Linked DNA regions of Xenopus tropicalis. The protein of the gene in region 2 purifies or fractionates together with the protein of the main gene of each other region. This does not show direct contact. Links are inferred from orthologs where the notes say so. Each region holds a gene or a part of one and is shown on either strand. Other genes may lie near its edges.

What was found.
Region 1: the proteins of nxf1 (region 2) and rangap1 purify together in Homo sapiens (co-immunoprecipitation; 3 studies listed by BioGRID and IntAct, with this or other methods). This does not show direct contact. The link is inferred for Xenopus tropicalis from reciprocal best matches to the Homo sapiens genes NXF1 and RANGAP1.

Annotation. Positions count from the first base shown.
Region 1 is NC_030680.2:121,799,735-121,806,538, forward strand, and holds the end of rangap1 (ran GTPase-activating protein 1), read right to left. Parts: intron 6,710-6,804; coding exon 6,625-6,709; intron 6,254-6,624; coding exon 6,085-6,253; intron 4,628-6,084; coding exon 4,508-4,627; intron 3,863-4,507; coding exon 3,760-3,862; intron 3,672-3,759; coding exon 3,583-3,671; intron 3,417-3,582; coding exon 3,295-3,416; intron 1,774-3,294; coding exon 1,704-1,773; 3' UTR 289-1,703; downstream 1-288. UniProt on the Homo sapiens protein: GTPase activator for RAN. Converts cytoplasmic GTP-bound RAN to GDP-bound RAN, which is essential for RAN-mediated nuclear import and export. Mediates dissociation of cargo from nuclear export complexes containing XPO1, RAN and RANBP2 after nuclear export.
Region 2 is NC_030680.2:36,527,758-36,536,562, forward strand, and holds the start of nxf1 (nuclear RNA export factor 1), read right to left. Parts: upstream 4,645-8,805; 5' UTR 4,615-4,644; coding exon 4,587-4,614; intron 4,173-4,586; exon of another isoform or gene 4,158-4,172; coding exon of another isoform or gene 4,109-4,157; intron 1,752-4,108; exon of another isoform or gene 1,655-1,751; intron 1-1,654.

The DNA of each region.
Region 1 (6,804 bases), about 85 Mb from region 2:
TTTAAACTGAATTGTTCCATTAAGAACCCAATGAAATCAGATATCAGAATAAGTGGACAGACCTTTCCTGCAGGCCATAGTTACTGCACAATGTGCCAAAGTTACTAATGGCCAACAAACTTTTAAACACAAGCATTTAACTCCTGCAAGACAAAACAGAACAAGTCATCAGTGCCTTTGAGCCATGGTGGGTTTTATTACTGTCATTTGATGATTAAGATTTCTGACAGTTACTATCCTTATTTTTTTAATATGGAGAACTACTCTGCACAATGTATACAATTTTTTTTTTTTTTTTTTTTTAAGTGGTGTTTGAGGTAAGTGAGCAAGTCTATACACACACCCAAGCTAAATCGTTTTATCAAGGAGAGCCATGATATGATGTGAATATCCATTCTGGAATAGGCCTTATAGATATCCATGATGGCTCCTGGAAGTGAAGCAACAGTCGCCCTGAAGCTGTAGGGTCTTTGCTTGAGAAGCAATACAAATTATTTACAAAGGAAATCACTGGGGACATTTTGCGTCTTAAAAAAAAACAAAAAAAAAAAAAACTCCAACACTCTTGCCAGCAGTGTTGGTATAGAGAGGAAATCTTTAATAACTGATTATAAAAAGCAGAGCAAGCCGCCCCCACGTGTAGATGCAATCAGCTGGCGGAAGCACGGTAGGATGCTGTTTGATGACAGATACCCAAAGGCTTACACTCTTTTTCTACTCAGCCATTAAAGGACATTAATGCTACATATTTTTTTTTTCCTTTTGCACAATTGCTCCCAAATCTACTCTAAAAGCTATAAAGACTAAAACAATTTCAAATGTCCATTGAGTAGGCACCAAAGAGGACTACATAGAAAACTATACAGGAACAGCAGCAATACCTTACAGCCATCAGGGTACTGGCACATTAGGTATGAATGGCATCTGCAAGGCCTATGGTACATTCTTCCTGTAGAACAATTGCAGACTAAGGAGTGAGCGTAATTAAATCACTGAATGCAATTCTATTGTGCCAAGTAATAACTGCACAAGTATTTCCAAAACACAAGTATCTGCTCCAGGTAATTTAAATAAAACATGAATATGATTTGCAGTGTATACAAATGTAAGAGTAATCTGTTACCCTTTGAGTACTATGCATGATAGTTCCCTTAGCTTAAAGCCAAGCTCTGCCAGACAAACAGGCTAAAGTTATGGCAGGAACAGGAGTAGACTGTTTCAGGAATTACAAGGGCTAAATATGCACCCGATATGCATTACAGCTTCTCTCGTTAAGGAAGGAATACAGTGTATACATGTACAATCGCTTATGATAAAGATACAGTACTTTTACTGTCCCTAAACTCAATTTACAAAGTATTATCCAATAATTTGGCATTAAACACAGATGCGCCACTCAATGAGAATATGAGAACTGTCCAATGATGTAACATTATTCAGTTACACAACACTCAATGAACCTATAAAAAATGCTCATCTGGAGTCCAAATCTGGGCCTCTGGATCATCAAGGTATTGAGAGGTGAACAGTTCTTTTCAAATGTAAACAAAAAGACTGGAATGGGGCCCCTTGTAGGTAAGACCAGAAGGAACTTATTCCCCAGCAATATGCCTAATAAACCCTTGCTCATATATAACCTGCTATGAAGAGCTTTTATGTTTTGTGGGCTGGGTAAAGTTTAGTCCAAGTTGAAGCAAAGCAGGTTACAGATTATGAAGGTTGTGCAGCAATGTGTGTCTGGCACTGGCGTTATTTTCCAGGACACGGTTGGGCCTGAAATGACAAGGAGAGAGATCAAATTATTCGTAAAGTAAAGCAATCGACTGTTCTGTTAATATTTGTTAGAGAACGTTCATTACATTTGGTTAGATGTGTTTTGTAAAAGGCTCAGGGCAGTATAGAATATACCCTGTATATATTATATAAATATTGGCACTTAAGATGTATATTAGCACCAAGTAACCACAAGCACTCATAGCTGTATATTAACAGTACCTTAAAGTCTAAGGAACAGGAACTGGGAGCATATAAACACAGACATTTCTCTCACTGCATACATATCCAAGAAATGGAAAACATCATATATAAAGGGTTATAATATTTTGTCTTGGGTAAGGTTATAATATTGTATTGAAGTCCCACAAAGCTGAGCTGAGCAGACCTATATTAACATATATCAAGGATAAACAGGCGTGATTCTTACACCCCGAGTACAAAACACGTGTAGCGTTATTGGGGCCACAGTAGACATAATTGTCAGCGCTTGATTTTTTACTGAACACTGCAAACAGTAGTAGCAGGTGGAATTTATGGACAGTGCATTCATCTGGTCCGGAGAGTTCAGTTATGAAGTCTGTGTAGTGTCCATGTAGTGTGTAACAATGACAGCCATAATGTCCATAATTCCCCTTTTGCAAAAAAGCCAATCAACTCAAGAACAACAATACTGTAAACTGGGTATTTTATAGAAAAGTGGGGGAGGCCAACTTTGTTTCAGTCAACTATTAAAAATTAATATTCACTAGACTTACATAATATGAGGGCACTCCCTCTCCTGCATCATTGGCACATCTTTGATACCACTGGCTGGCTCAATCAGAAATGTAAATGAAGCAGGAGAGGGAAGGCATGAGTAGCAAGTTCAGTGGTGCCAACTTCCTGTTATGGAAGAATGCAAGTTCGTGTTGGCGATCCCTTCCAAAGAGAGCATAGAGCAAAGCACAGACAGTTTTAGCGGCACTGATTCTGGTCTGTAGCTTCAAAACTAAACATTCTAAATAATAAAGATGAATTACAGGGGCTCCTCAAATTCAGACTATGCTGAACATCCCCTTTAAGTGGTCCATATATCTAGGACTAGGGCTGCTCTGCCTGCCTGTATCCTGATCTTAAGGACATATTGTTTTCAATCTTACTAACATACTCTAAAGCAGGGCTCCCCAACTCCTTTTACCTGTGAGCCAAACTCTGTATAAAATGTATGGAAGCCACACAAACATTAAAAAATTTCCAGGGTGTTGCCAAATAAATCCTGCAATTGGATGTTTGGTAGCCCATGTAGACTGAGTAAACTAGTGTCTTTAAACCTGGAATTTTAACATTAACACCAGATTTGAGGCCACAAAAAGCAAAGTCAAAAGGAATGGCAAGCAACATGTTGCACGTAAGGGAAATGCTGTGAATCACTGCTCTAAAGCATTGTAACTCATGCCTCTGGGTAACTGAAGTAGCTACCAAGCTGAAATACATGAAGGAATGAGAAAAAAAATTAAATAATGTGTTTTATGTACTTACTTTGAGATGAAAGCCAGAAGTATAGGAACAAGAGATTTTGGGAAGTAATTCTGTTGTACCATGTGATTCAGAGTTAGCAAGGGGCCATTTAAGTGCTGTACCGTTTTAATTTTGTCTTCACTCTGAGCATGAGGAAAGACAAGAAATAAAAAATATATATTAAACATAAAATACAAATACACAGGTCACACTGGCAAATAGACCGTGTCCCCTTCTACTCTAAAGGGGAAGGCTAATTAACAAGACCAGACTAATAATTAACACCACACAAAAATATTCATACAATACCTTGAGAAGTCCCATATGCACCAATAGACTAGTGATAAACAGATTTTCTTGGAAACCTCGGCTTTCAAAAGCCTTCTTCATTAGACCATCTAGAACAGTTAAGAGAGACCGTTAGAATATGCTTACACAGGTCGGAGCACAAAGGAGACAAAAGAAATGGCAGTAACTAGCACACACCAATAGTTTCTTCAACAGCCGCCTTTACTTCACTGTCATCCCTGTACACAGAGGAGACCTGGATGAACGTTTGGACCACCTTTTCCGTATCTGCAACATCGATCTAAAGATAAGGGAGATAACACAATTACAAAGAAGTTGTGAAAAAGAAAGAAGTTATGCCAGCATTCTAGTTTGTATTTGTTTAGCAAAATTATAGTTAACCTACAATTAGAAGTGCGGTAAACTCTAAATGGTCATCTTTATTCTATATGTGCTTGGTAATATGAGTGGATACAGGAAATGACAGGATCCTTGGATTTACCAAATAATTTATTTTGAATTAAACACGTCTCAGGCACAACAAGCAGCTCAAGACATTGATGAATCTCTCATGAGTAAGCACGGTACTATGGCTTCAATAGAGTGCCAGTTACAAGTGTTGGGCACGCTGCTGAAAGGATGGTAGAGATTCGTGCTTTACAATACAATAATACAACAGTATAAGCCCTAGGCATCCAGTCTAATGCTCAACCTATGGATAATGCACATTTGGCATTATAATTAACTCATTGACAACAAAGCATATATATTGAGCTAGGGGGTATGGGAATTGATGTTGTATGCTTATGATAAATAATGAATACATTGTTGCTGACCAGGAGGAAATAAAGAATGCGTGGATGGTTGAATTGAACATGGCATGAACATTTCTTCTTCTTGATATTCTGATAACCAATTAACCATATTGGATAATGAAAACACCAACCTGCTGCATTATCATTGTAGAACGTTTAGGACCCATGCGCACAAGCTTCTCAGGAGAGGGAAAGCTAAGAAAGGTGGATGCATCAACTGGAAGTTTAGGTGGAGCGGCTGGTGTGGATACCTTTAAAAAAAAAAAAAAAACACGGTAGATAATCTATAAATTTTAAGATTCACACCTATTCCTGAAAGCACTTACAGGTAACTGCCAACATAAAAGAACTAAAACTTGATACAAAGTATAGGTAACTGCCACAGCAAAGGGATGTTTGTTGCCTACTGCTACAACTACAATTCTCCCACCAAGAGGAAGTCATAAGAAGCATTCCCTAAGGCTAAATGGCAAATGAGGGCAGAAGGCAAAGCATAAAAATACTCCCTACGGCATGGAATGATAGTTGTGGTAGATACATACAAGGCTGATCATAGTGTGTGCACTAACTTCACAACAACCCAGTGCAAATTAAAAGAGGACCATCATGATACTGTGCAATCTTACTCAGTGTCAAGGTAAAGTCAGCCATGGGTTTAGAAAAGAAAAATAAGTTACACAAGCCTAGAGCCCTGTTCTTAAGCTTGGATCCCCAGATGATGATGTACTACAATTCACAGAAGCCAAACTAATATCAAGGTAAAAGCATGTTTGGAGCTGTAGTGCAGCTACATCAGGGCACCCAAGATTATGAAACATGGCCTTGAGAACTTGCATGTATACCTAAAGTAACAAAAAGTAAATATGGTGTGCAGCACTAACTTCTCTGTTGTGCATTGAGACCAATTAATATTGCCCAATGTTAAAAGAAATGTGGTGCCAAATGATCAAATTAGCCCTATATCGCCCACCCGTAGGTGTGACCTTGCCAAACAAGTGGATCTTACAGTGTATGCCCACCTTAAATTTAAAGGGGTGCTGCAGACTTCAGGTAACTGAAGTTCCCCAATCTGAAGCTAAAACATTGCACAAAACAAGAGAAACTGCAACTAAAAGAAAATATAGGGGTGGAATCTTTAACCTATAATAAAACAAAATTCCTTGTTAGCCTATCGAAACATCATATGGAAAACATTTAACACTTAGGGACAGATTTATCAAAATGTGAGTTTAGAACTGTGAATAGAACTCACCCACTTCTATTTATTCCTATGGGATTTTAAGAAGTGTATTTAACAATTGGTGAATTAAAATTTTCACCCACTGATAAATACACTTCTAAAAATTCCATAGGAATAAATAGAGTGTGGGTCAGTTTTTAATTTAATTTTTAGTATTAATCTCTAAACTTATATTTTTATACATCTGCCCCTTAATGTGGAACAGGATTATTTTACAAATGTAATCTGAATAGGCAGCCATAGATAGGTATTTGTCGCCTACAGTATGGCGTGAATTTCCACAGGTGACAAAATGCCCCATGTGCCAGCGCTTGTAAAGATCTATTGTCAAGGCAGCCAAACAGCTACAAAACATTAATAGTGGTCTGCAGTGTTTAGCTGCACTGAATCCTTCCTAAAGGATGCTCATCCCTGCACAGACACCTTCAAGCATGCCCGCAATTATGCTGTAGACACTTTCATACTTACATGTGATGAAATTTTATTAGGCTTTGTTCTGTTTTCATTATCATCTACATCTTCCTCCTCTTCCTCCTCCTCCACGTCCTCTTCATCATCTTCATCATCGTCGTCGTCATCATCGTCGTCATCATCATCTACTTCATCTTCATCCTCATCTTCATCCCCCTCATCATCACTACAGCAAAGTAAAGATGTTATACAAATGCTAGACCAATTTTTTTTATACCCATGCTTATTTTAAAGAGATGAAATTATCCCGATGGGACAAAACTTCCCATGTAAATATTTATACAATAAATTAGATCTTTGCAGTTTTCTGTACTTAGGGTATCACAATTCCATAGACTACCATGTTTTAAAACACAGAAAAACTGTCATATATTGCTTTCCATTGCAAGCATTGCAAGGGACCTTAATTATGACTACACTAGATATATTTATCTATCCATACATACATACACACACACACACACACACACACACACACAATACCTCAGTAGAGAAGGTAGTTGAGGTTGAGAAGCATATATATGCAGCATACTATACCTTAAAGAGCCTAATATGTTAGCCATGCTAATGCCTTCCAGGATTTCCTGCACCTGCTCACAGCCCCCCTCACCAAGACAATTTCCTGCAATAAAAACCAAAGAGTAGCTTATTAAATCAAATTCTTACAACCCACATATATGATGTAGCTATACACACTACACACTGCTCCAGCATGTG
Region 2 (8,805 bases):
GGGATAAAGGGTGAGTAGGAGGGTCTTCAGTTCTGATGTCATCAGTGTCCTGCCTCCTGATGGGAGGGACCCTTTACCCCATGGTCCCTGTGTCCCCCTAGACGTGAGAGAAATCTTGTTTATAAACCTGCAGTATAAAAACTTACCAGTGACAAAATTATAAAAGGAAAGAAATTTTCATACCCATACTGGAAAATTCCCACAGTGATTCACACCTCATTTTTACAGGGTGGTTGTTCTGGTACAGCAAGTAACCTGCTTGAAGAAAACTACTTAATGTGCCATGGTTCCCATAGGTCAGTTACTAATCATTCAGCCCACTTGATTATTTCAATCATCAATTATTGCCTTATTGCACCAGATTATTACTGCTGGAGCCTCTGAATATTTGCTAACTATACAAACTCAAGCATTTCAGATAATCAATTTTATAATTTAGCTTTAATAAACATATAACACTGAAAACAGGCTTGTGGTAACTGAACTGAATTGGGCTATGTCTTTTCAAAGACAATACAAAAAGGGGAGGGATTGCTTGTAAATCAATTTTATTTTGTGGTACTACTGGTCCAAAAAAAGCAGAATTATCAGATTAGCTGCAGTGCGTCTACAGTCAATCCAAGCATTCTAGCTAAACACCCTGCTACTAAGAGTTTAGACATCATTTAAACAACTTCTATTTACAGTCATCCTCTTTTCTGCCAATTGCCATTTCTGCTAGGTGATTCACGCCAAATGCTTCTAGATCAACTGGTCTGTGCATGTAAAATTAAATAAAGCAATGAATACTAAAAATAACTGTAATGGCCGTGACAGACAGGGAGATTAGTCGCTGTGCGACTAATCTCCCCAAAATGCCATTCCACCGGCTAGAATATAAATCACCTGTGGGATGGCACACGGATTGGCGATTTGCCAAAATCGCTGAAGTTTCCTCTCAAGGCAACTTTGGCGATTTCGGCAAATCGCCAATCCGCGTATGCCATCCCAACAGCGATTTACATTCTAGCCGGTGGGATGGAATTTTGGGGAGATTAGTCGCCCGCAACAAGGGAGATTTGTCATGCGGCGACTAATCTCCCTGTCTGTCACGGCCCTTAAAAGCATAAAGAAAGGTATAACACTGCCTTTAAGAGCCACTGAATAAACAAAAGTTTCTGCAAACATAACAGACTGCGGCTCTGTTTGTAAAACACAATGGCAATATGGCAGCTGCCACATTAACTCTCAAATGAGTTAATACACGATATTACAATGTAGAGTGTATTCATTCCTGCAGAGAGGGGCAGTCAAGGTGCCCACTGCATGTGTAAGCACTGCACAGTGCTCACAGTAAATTTCACCAAAGCAGCTTATTTAGGGAGTTATACAGGGCATATTTACTTTAGTGTCCCTGTACTAACTCAAGGCCACTATTTTGTATTTTTCCTGTGATTTAGTAGCCTTCTGAAGTCTAATGAGTATTAACAGGATGTCTGAGGTAAGCAATGACACAAGGGCTATGTATTAAAAAGTATGTGGGGTCCAGAGCTGTGCGATGAATATATATGCTCTATATTCGGGGTGCTAGGGGCAGCTCTGAAGGGAACAAGTCACATCGGCTCATCTATTCATATACAATTGTGTTCGAGTTATCAAGGTTAGTGATACTCACAAGCAAAGCAGGTAAATGTGTGTTATAGCCATAGTCTATCGCTGTGCAATTCTTTGATTTAGGTCAGAGACTGTTAAACCTGTTTAGGGTGGATCACTCCAATAACCCTGAATATAGAGAGATTAACTCTTACTATAGGATAGCATCATTTCAACAAAGTACATAACCAATTTTTGGGTTGTAAAGGTAATTTACCAACTTAGTTTATGCCCCTTGGGAAAAATTGCTTTAGCATTTCATTCTTTAACATTTCACAATCTAACTTTGCAGAGCAGTCTATTGTAACAGTAATCATTTCTACCCATTAAAGGACATGTCAACCCCAAAAATATTTTCTTGCCTAACAAAACATAAGTCCAAGCAAATTGCAATATACATTAAGTACAAATTTGGAATGTCTTTTACATTATTTGTATATATAATTGCTCTTTTCTACTTTCTACCCTGGTGGCTCCTGACTTTTGAAACAATGTTACACAAGAGCAGATTGGTATACCTGTCTTGCTGGAGGAGTCTTTGCAAGAATTAAGCAAACGCCGCTTTAAATAGTAACTACATTTACAAATAACCTTTAACCCTTTAACTGCTAACGACGTACGGCGTTGCAGTAAATGGCTTTATCTGCCAACGACGTGCGCCGTACGTCGTTTGGCAGATAAAGATACTTCTATGCCACTTCTGCAGAGAGCTTTTAGCGATGACAGCCCCCTGGGCAACGAGCCAGGGGGGCTGTCATGTCGGCCCTGCGACGCGATCGCATCACGTCTGCTGCTTGTTTCCACTTCCTGCACCCCCACCCCCAGCGCCGGCCCACTGACTTCAAGCGACATGGAGGACAGGACTGCAGGACCAGGCAAGCTTCAAGACAGGTAAGGGTGATTTTTTTTTTTTGCATTTACACACACTTACACACAATTTTGCAGTTTATTTTTGTTTTGCACACATATACACTTATATACACATTTACACACTGTCACACAACTTTTACACATGTACACACATGTATACACAAACACTTTTTTTTTTACCACTTTGTTTTTAGTTTCTTTTCCTTAAAAACTGTTTATTATAACAGCGTGACTATTAGATAAGATATTCTGACCACTAATTATGCTGTTGTGTGACTTATTTTGTTGTTTCACTAATTTGCACAATTTTTGTGGTTTTATTGCATTTTTATCCCTGTATTAGTATTCTTGATCTGTTTTTAGCATAGCTTTGCCACGTGTAACTTTGGTGTAGAAAAATAACTTTAAATTCATCAGAATGTGTACTCTCCAAAAATATATAGTTTTCTGGGGGTGCCTGTATAGTAAGGGGGGTTACGGCACATAATACGCTGTCAGGGGGCTCTGTGTAAAAGCTGAGTTGGCAGGTGAGAAATCCATATACGTTATTTTCATTTTGGGGTCAGTACACACCACAGACTTTGGTATAACTATGCATATTGGGCATCAAACTGTTCAGTAGACCTTGGGTGTTCCTATTTGTGGTGATTTGCCTTTGTATGCAAGAAATTGTGTGAGATAAATGTGGCAAATTGCAAGATTTTTAGGCAATTTTATGAAATGTCATTAAAAATCGGCAAACAGGAAAGCTTTGCGGCTAGGTACTTTGGAGTAAAAAGAAATGTGTACCCATTAGAGATTCGGGGCAATGTGTACTTTCCAAAAATATACGACTTTCTGGGGTGAGTGTACTTTTTTGTAGCATTATCCCACATAAAGGATGTAAATATGTTGATTTTGCAGGAGCTGAAATGACAGATCATATGGGGGTATGTTCCCATCAGGGCCCCTACACTACACTACAAGTGACAATATGAACTACTATTGAACTGTAAATTTAGGTTCCATATGCAACATAAGAGGATAATAGAGAAAACAATTACAGTAAAAAGCTTCTCTTAATATACGGATATCAACTTGAGTATTGATAACATGTATTTTAGATTTCCTTGGATTTGTGTGTCTCTCTTCCCATAAAGTTCAAGGGGACATGTTTGAGGTTCAGCTGGCAAATATGGGGGGGCGACAATTAACCTCCTCTGTAATATATAATATATACCATGTCTGTAATATGTCTCATTTATGTCTGTGTAGTGTTTCCATTTCCTTGCTCAGCTAGGTTGCACAGAAATCAGTGTCTCATATCTCGCAATTGCAACCCACCTCTTGCAGAACAACCAACCAAAGCTTCAACTTCTCAAGAAACAAGAAAGTACCTCTTCAAATGCCAGATCAGCGCTGCATAGAACTCAAAGAAGGCCAAACCACAATTTACTAAGAGAGGGGGCTATATTTTTCCCCTTAGCTTCTACAGATGTTGCCTTTCTCATATCTAGCTGACAAGCAGCTTTTGCAAGCAAGACACCCCACCTTCCCCCCTTCTTTCCTGAGCTTAAATACCTTTACCCTGAGATCAATCAGAAAAGAAGACGTTTTGCTACTGAACCTGTTCGTGTCAGTGTGATTTCTTCAGGTCTGGCCAGACCCTTACCCATATATCAAATTTGGACGGGGATATATATTCGTGTCCTTAACATAGGGGGCCCTTGAGAAAGCAACACGTGGGCTTCATTACACGAGGTGGGGGGCCAAAACAAAGCGACACTCGCCCACTGCCATAGGAATGTGTTAACGGGGATTATTCCGGACTCATACAGAAGCTGCTTGTTACGAATAAGCACTCAGGATACTGCCTCCCAGTTACAGGCCACATATATACTATATATTTATCATATAACACATTATCTGTTCTCTAGAAGCGAGGTCGCTAGAAAAACATGTATGGCCAACAAGGGCCCAGCTAATCGCCAGCAGCTAAACAAACGGGGCACATGTGTAGGAACCACCTCCCCCACAAACATAAATACTCTGCTCACGAATAACTAGTCCCTACTGTCAATAGTCACTCGCTTATACAATCTTACCGACATACGACCGGCCACCGTCCGCCATTTTTCAGCTCCCTCTGTCGTCAGTAGCTAGTTAACGCCACTTCCCCTTAATGCCGGCCCGCCCACTTCTTGGAAAGTATCACCGCGGCAACGGAGCTGCGAGTTCTTTTTTTTTTTTTTCAGACGTGACGTCACGGGGGGTGGGGCAAAGTGCTTCCATGGGTGTCGAACAATTTGTAAAACCTGCCCAATTTATCTGTCTCGTATGACTGTAATGTATTAGGGAAAGAGGCCTTTGAGCCCAATGCCTAAATTGCCCTTTGATTGCAGAGCAGATTATTGTGTACTACCATTCAGCTCTAGTTTGACTTGGTGCTAGAACATTAAAAACAATATTAAAGCTGACCAGCATACTTATAGACAGACAAGAAATTTAGGGAAATCTGGGAACCTTGGTATATATATTTCTTCCCAACTCCAAAGTTTTGCTATAGCCCCGTCCTGGGATTGCCACGTGGATTTACCGGCCTGGTCAGTAAAAATCAGGACTGTGGAGTCGGAGACGGAGTCGGCAAAAAATGAACCGACTCCGACTCCTACTAAATTTAAATGGGAATAAAAAAAAAAGTAAAGCAAGTTTAAATGTCCCAATTTACAAACAGTTATAATTAATTACTTCTCTGCTATATAAGCCCAATGCACGCGGTGCATAAACGAACACGTTAAGTGACCATGAAGCATGCTTTTCATTGACTGTATGAATGTATAAAATACATTAGCATATTAAAAACAGAGGAGTCGGAGTCGGAAGTATCAGAAACTGAGGAGTCGGAGTCGGAGAATTTATCTACCGACTCCACAGCCCTGGTAAAAATGATGCTTGATCCCATAGGGGAAAAAAATATAAATATATATGTAGGGGTTTACCAAAAATGGGCCCTTAGGACAGACACCCCTAGGACAGGCCACCGGGTGGTGCTAGTTAACAGGGACACTAGGATGACTGGGTTCTAAATAGTTAACAGGGAGTATACCTGTAGTTCGGGTTATGGCCACAGGGTGGTACATAGGCCCATATAAAGTGTTGCAGCCATGTGCTGCCAGCCATCTTAGGCCTGGGTAGTAGAGCTACCAGTCCCCAGTTAATAGATAGTAGTTCAAGTAATAGGACATTCTAGGAGTGTCATGTAGGACACCAAGTTAGAATGGGCGGATATTGCCCCTCCAGGAGTGGTAGTGGGATTAAGATCCCCCAGTATTACATCTGCTGGAGTGCAGGGCACTAAGTGGCTAGGTAGGTGGATCAAGTCACCGCTAGTCCAGGAGGCCGGATCTGAGGGTGCCTAGCGAGAGTACCGGTGTGTGGGTCCCTGTGGTGTAACGTCCTAGCGTGAGTACCGGGAGAACTCTAGGATGGAGTGTCTCTGCCGAGAGTACCGAGGGGAGCACTGCTGAAAGTACCGTGGGGTAGTCCAACAGGAAAAGGTTCTCAATAAGAAGTAAGGAGATATGCCCTGCAATGTGTATAAATGATATGCCACTCCTGGAGAGGTGTCTGCCTGAATAAACCTTTACATCTATTTCACATATACAGTACTACTGTGTCGGAATATCTATCAAGCCCAGAGGACCACTACCAAGCTGGTAAGGAACGACCCCAGGGTGGGGTACATTACACCAGGAGTACGGGGGTCCCAAGAGGGGCATAGCATCCTATTCGTTTCCCAGGGGGTGGATTACAGTTCCACAAGACTATCCCTGGGTGGAGGCACGCCATTAAAGGGAGAAATCCCTGTAAACCCCCATAGTAAGCGGGGGCTCAGGACTCCTGTAGCGCCAAAGTAAAACAGCAGGTAGTGCCACAAGCGTTTAAAAAGTGGGCTACATATAGGCTGGTATTTTTCTCACAACCCTAGCCAGACCCTATGGAATTATCAATACTGATAGGATTGTTGCACTCTCCCACAGCTGCTAGCCATTAGAATATCTTATTTCCCTATATTAAAGGGACCTCATGGGAATCTCAGTCTGTATTCATTGCAGCTTTAAGGTGCCCATACACGGGCCGACTATAGCTGCCGATTCGGCAGCTAATCGGCCCATGTATGGGCAGAACAGGGCTGCCTGGCCGACCGATATCTGGCCTAAAATTGGCCAGATCTCGATCGGCCAGGTTAGAAAATCCGGTCGGATCGGGGACCGCATCGGCTCGTTGATGCGGTCCCCGAACCGACTGCCCCATAAGCTCAAATGTAATCCGACTGTTTGGCCCCAGGGCCAAACGATCGGATTATTTTTTTTTAAAGCAGCTTGCTACCCGATATCGCCCACCCGTAGGTGGGGATATCGGGTGAAGATCTGCTCGCTTGGCGACATCGCCAAGCGAGCGGATCTTATAGTGTATGGGCACCTTTACACTGCTGTTACTTGGAACCTTTGATTTAACTTTTGTTTACGTTATACTTTCCTCTTTCTTAGGCCCTATTACCTTTCCTTTCTTCTCTTTATTTTCTCACAGACTCCAGGTATTTATAAAGTCACTGTTATTTCCTATTGTCTATTGTTAAAAAAGCAAATAAGATAATACATGATTTTCTAGCACACCATTGCATAATGGCCTTAGTAATGCAAACTCTTGGGTAGCAGACCTCCATGCTCCTCTTCAAACCCAGTAGAACAGAATGATAATCTAGAATGGTGTAGTTATTATAGCAGAGAAGGTCCTGATCTTCCAGCACTAAGGTCTGTGAGACATGTAAGACTTCTAAACCCAGCTCACTTGGCCATCTGAAGAGTACCACAAACCACTGCCTGAGGCTCATATTCACTTAAGCAGGAGGTGGTTCAAACTGCCATTGCAAAACCTTACGAGCAGGAAATTGCAGTAGTGAATGAGGCCTCAGCACAGTAATAGGTTTTTGATGGGGTTTTTTTTTGAGCCAAAATGTACCAGGTTGAGCAGTGACACGTGTGCAGCCAAAGGAGGGCCTGTGCCTTGTTTTTTGTCTACCCACTGTATGAGCCAAAACATTAGACAAACATTTATTAATCCGGTAATAAACAGCCTGTCTCACCCCCGTGCCTCTCTTTCTCTGCTCCAGAGGATTATAAGGAGCTAATCCCAGTTTTAATACCAAAGCTCCTTGGTATATCCCTTCATTAGCAATGCAGGCCATTTTCCCACAATGTGAAAGACTGTTCAAACTAAATTCAACTTATAGACCTCTTTACAATTTTAATTGTAAAATATTTAGCTCTAGTGTAGCAAAAACCTTATGGTTATTTTATTTTAAGCATGCAAAAAAGTAATAGAAAGTTAGTATTCATATCAGGCCATTAATTATCTGCCCATTATACATTTAAATATATTTCTTTATAATTAATATTATTAATATAATTGAAACTGAACATTCGGCTCATATAGTGCAGGGAGTGCAATTGCACTAACTACATTAGCGATGCAGCCCCCACCTGGACCCCCTCCAGCACTGTAAATCTAAACACAGCGGGAGTGGCATCGCAAAAGCTGTCACAGGTCTAAAAATGCTCCTGGCTTGCCCTCTCAACAGCTGCCCTGACCAAACTGAGCATGTGCAGTGCCACTGACACTCCTAACTGAATCCAAGATGGTAAGTTTTTTCGACAACATTGAAGGCCTGGATCATTTCTGTTACAGAGATGCTGAAGATGCTGAACCGGCTGGTGCAGTAATTTTAGTAATAAAATGTGGCATTTCTAGCTGTATTCATTTTTATTGTTTACCATTAACACCACATACAGGGCTGCCATCAGAAATCACGGGGCCCCTCAGAACAGAATTTTCTGGGCATCCTCCAGCCCTCCTTACCATCCTCCAGCTTCCCCCCAGCGTCCTCCCCAACATCCTCCAGCATCCTCCCCAGCATACTCCAGCCCCACCTACCATCATCCAGCTTCCCCCAGCGTCCTCCCCAACATCCTCCAGCCCCCCTTACCATCCTCCAGGTTCCCCCAGCGTCGTCCCCAACATCCTCCAGCCCCCCTACGATCATCCTCCCTACCATCCTCCAGCTCCCCGTGCTTCCTGAGGCGCTTCCAGAGGCATTTCCTGTGGCTCTCCCTGCTCTCCCCAGCACCCGCCTTCTACATCGGCCGCCTCCTCCGGCTGCATCCTCCTCTTATGCCCACCAGCTCACCGCTGCATCCAGTTTTTATAAGGTTGCGCCCCATGCGTACTGACATCACAAGTACGCATGGGGAGCAGCCAACTGAA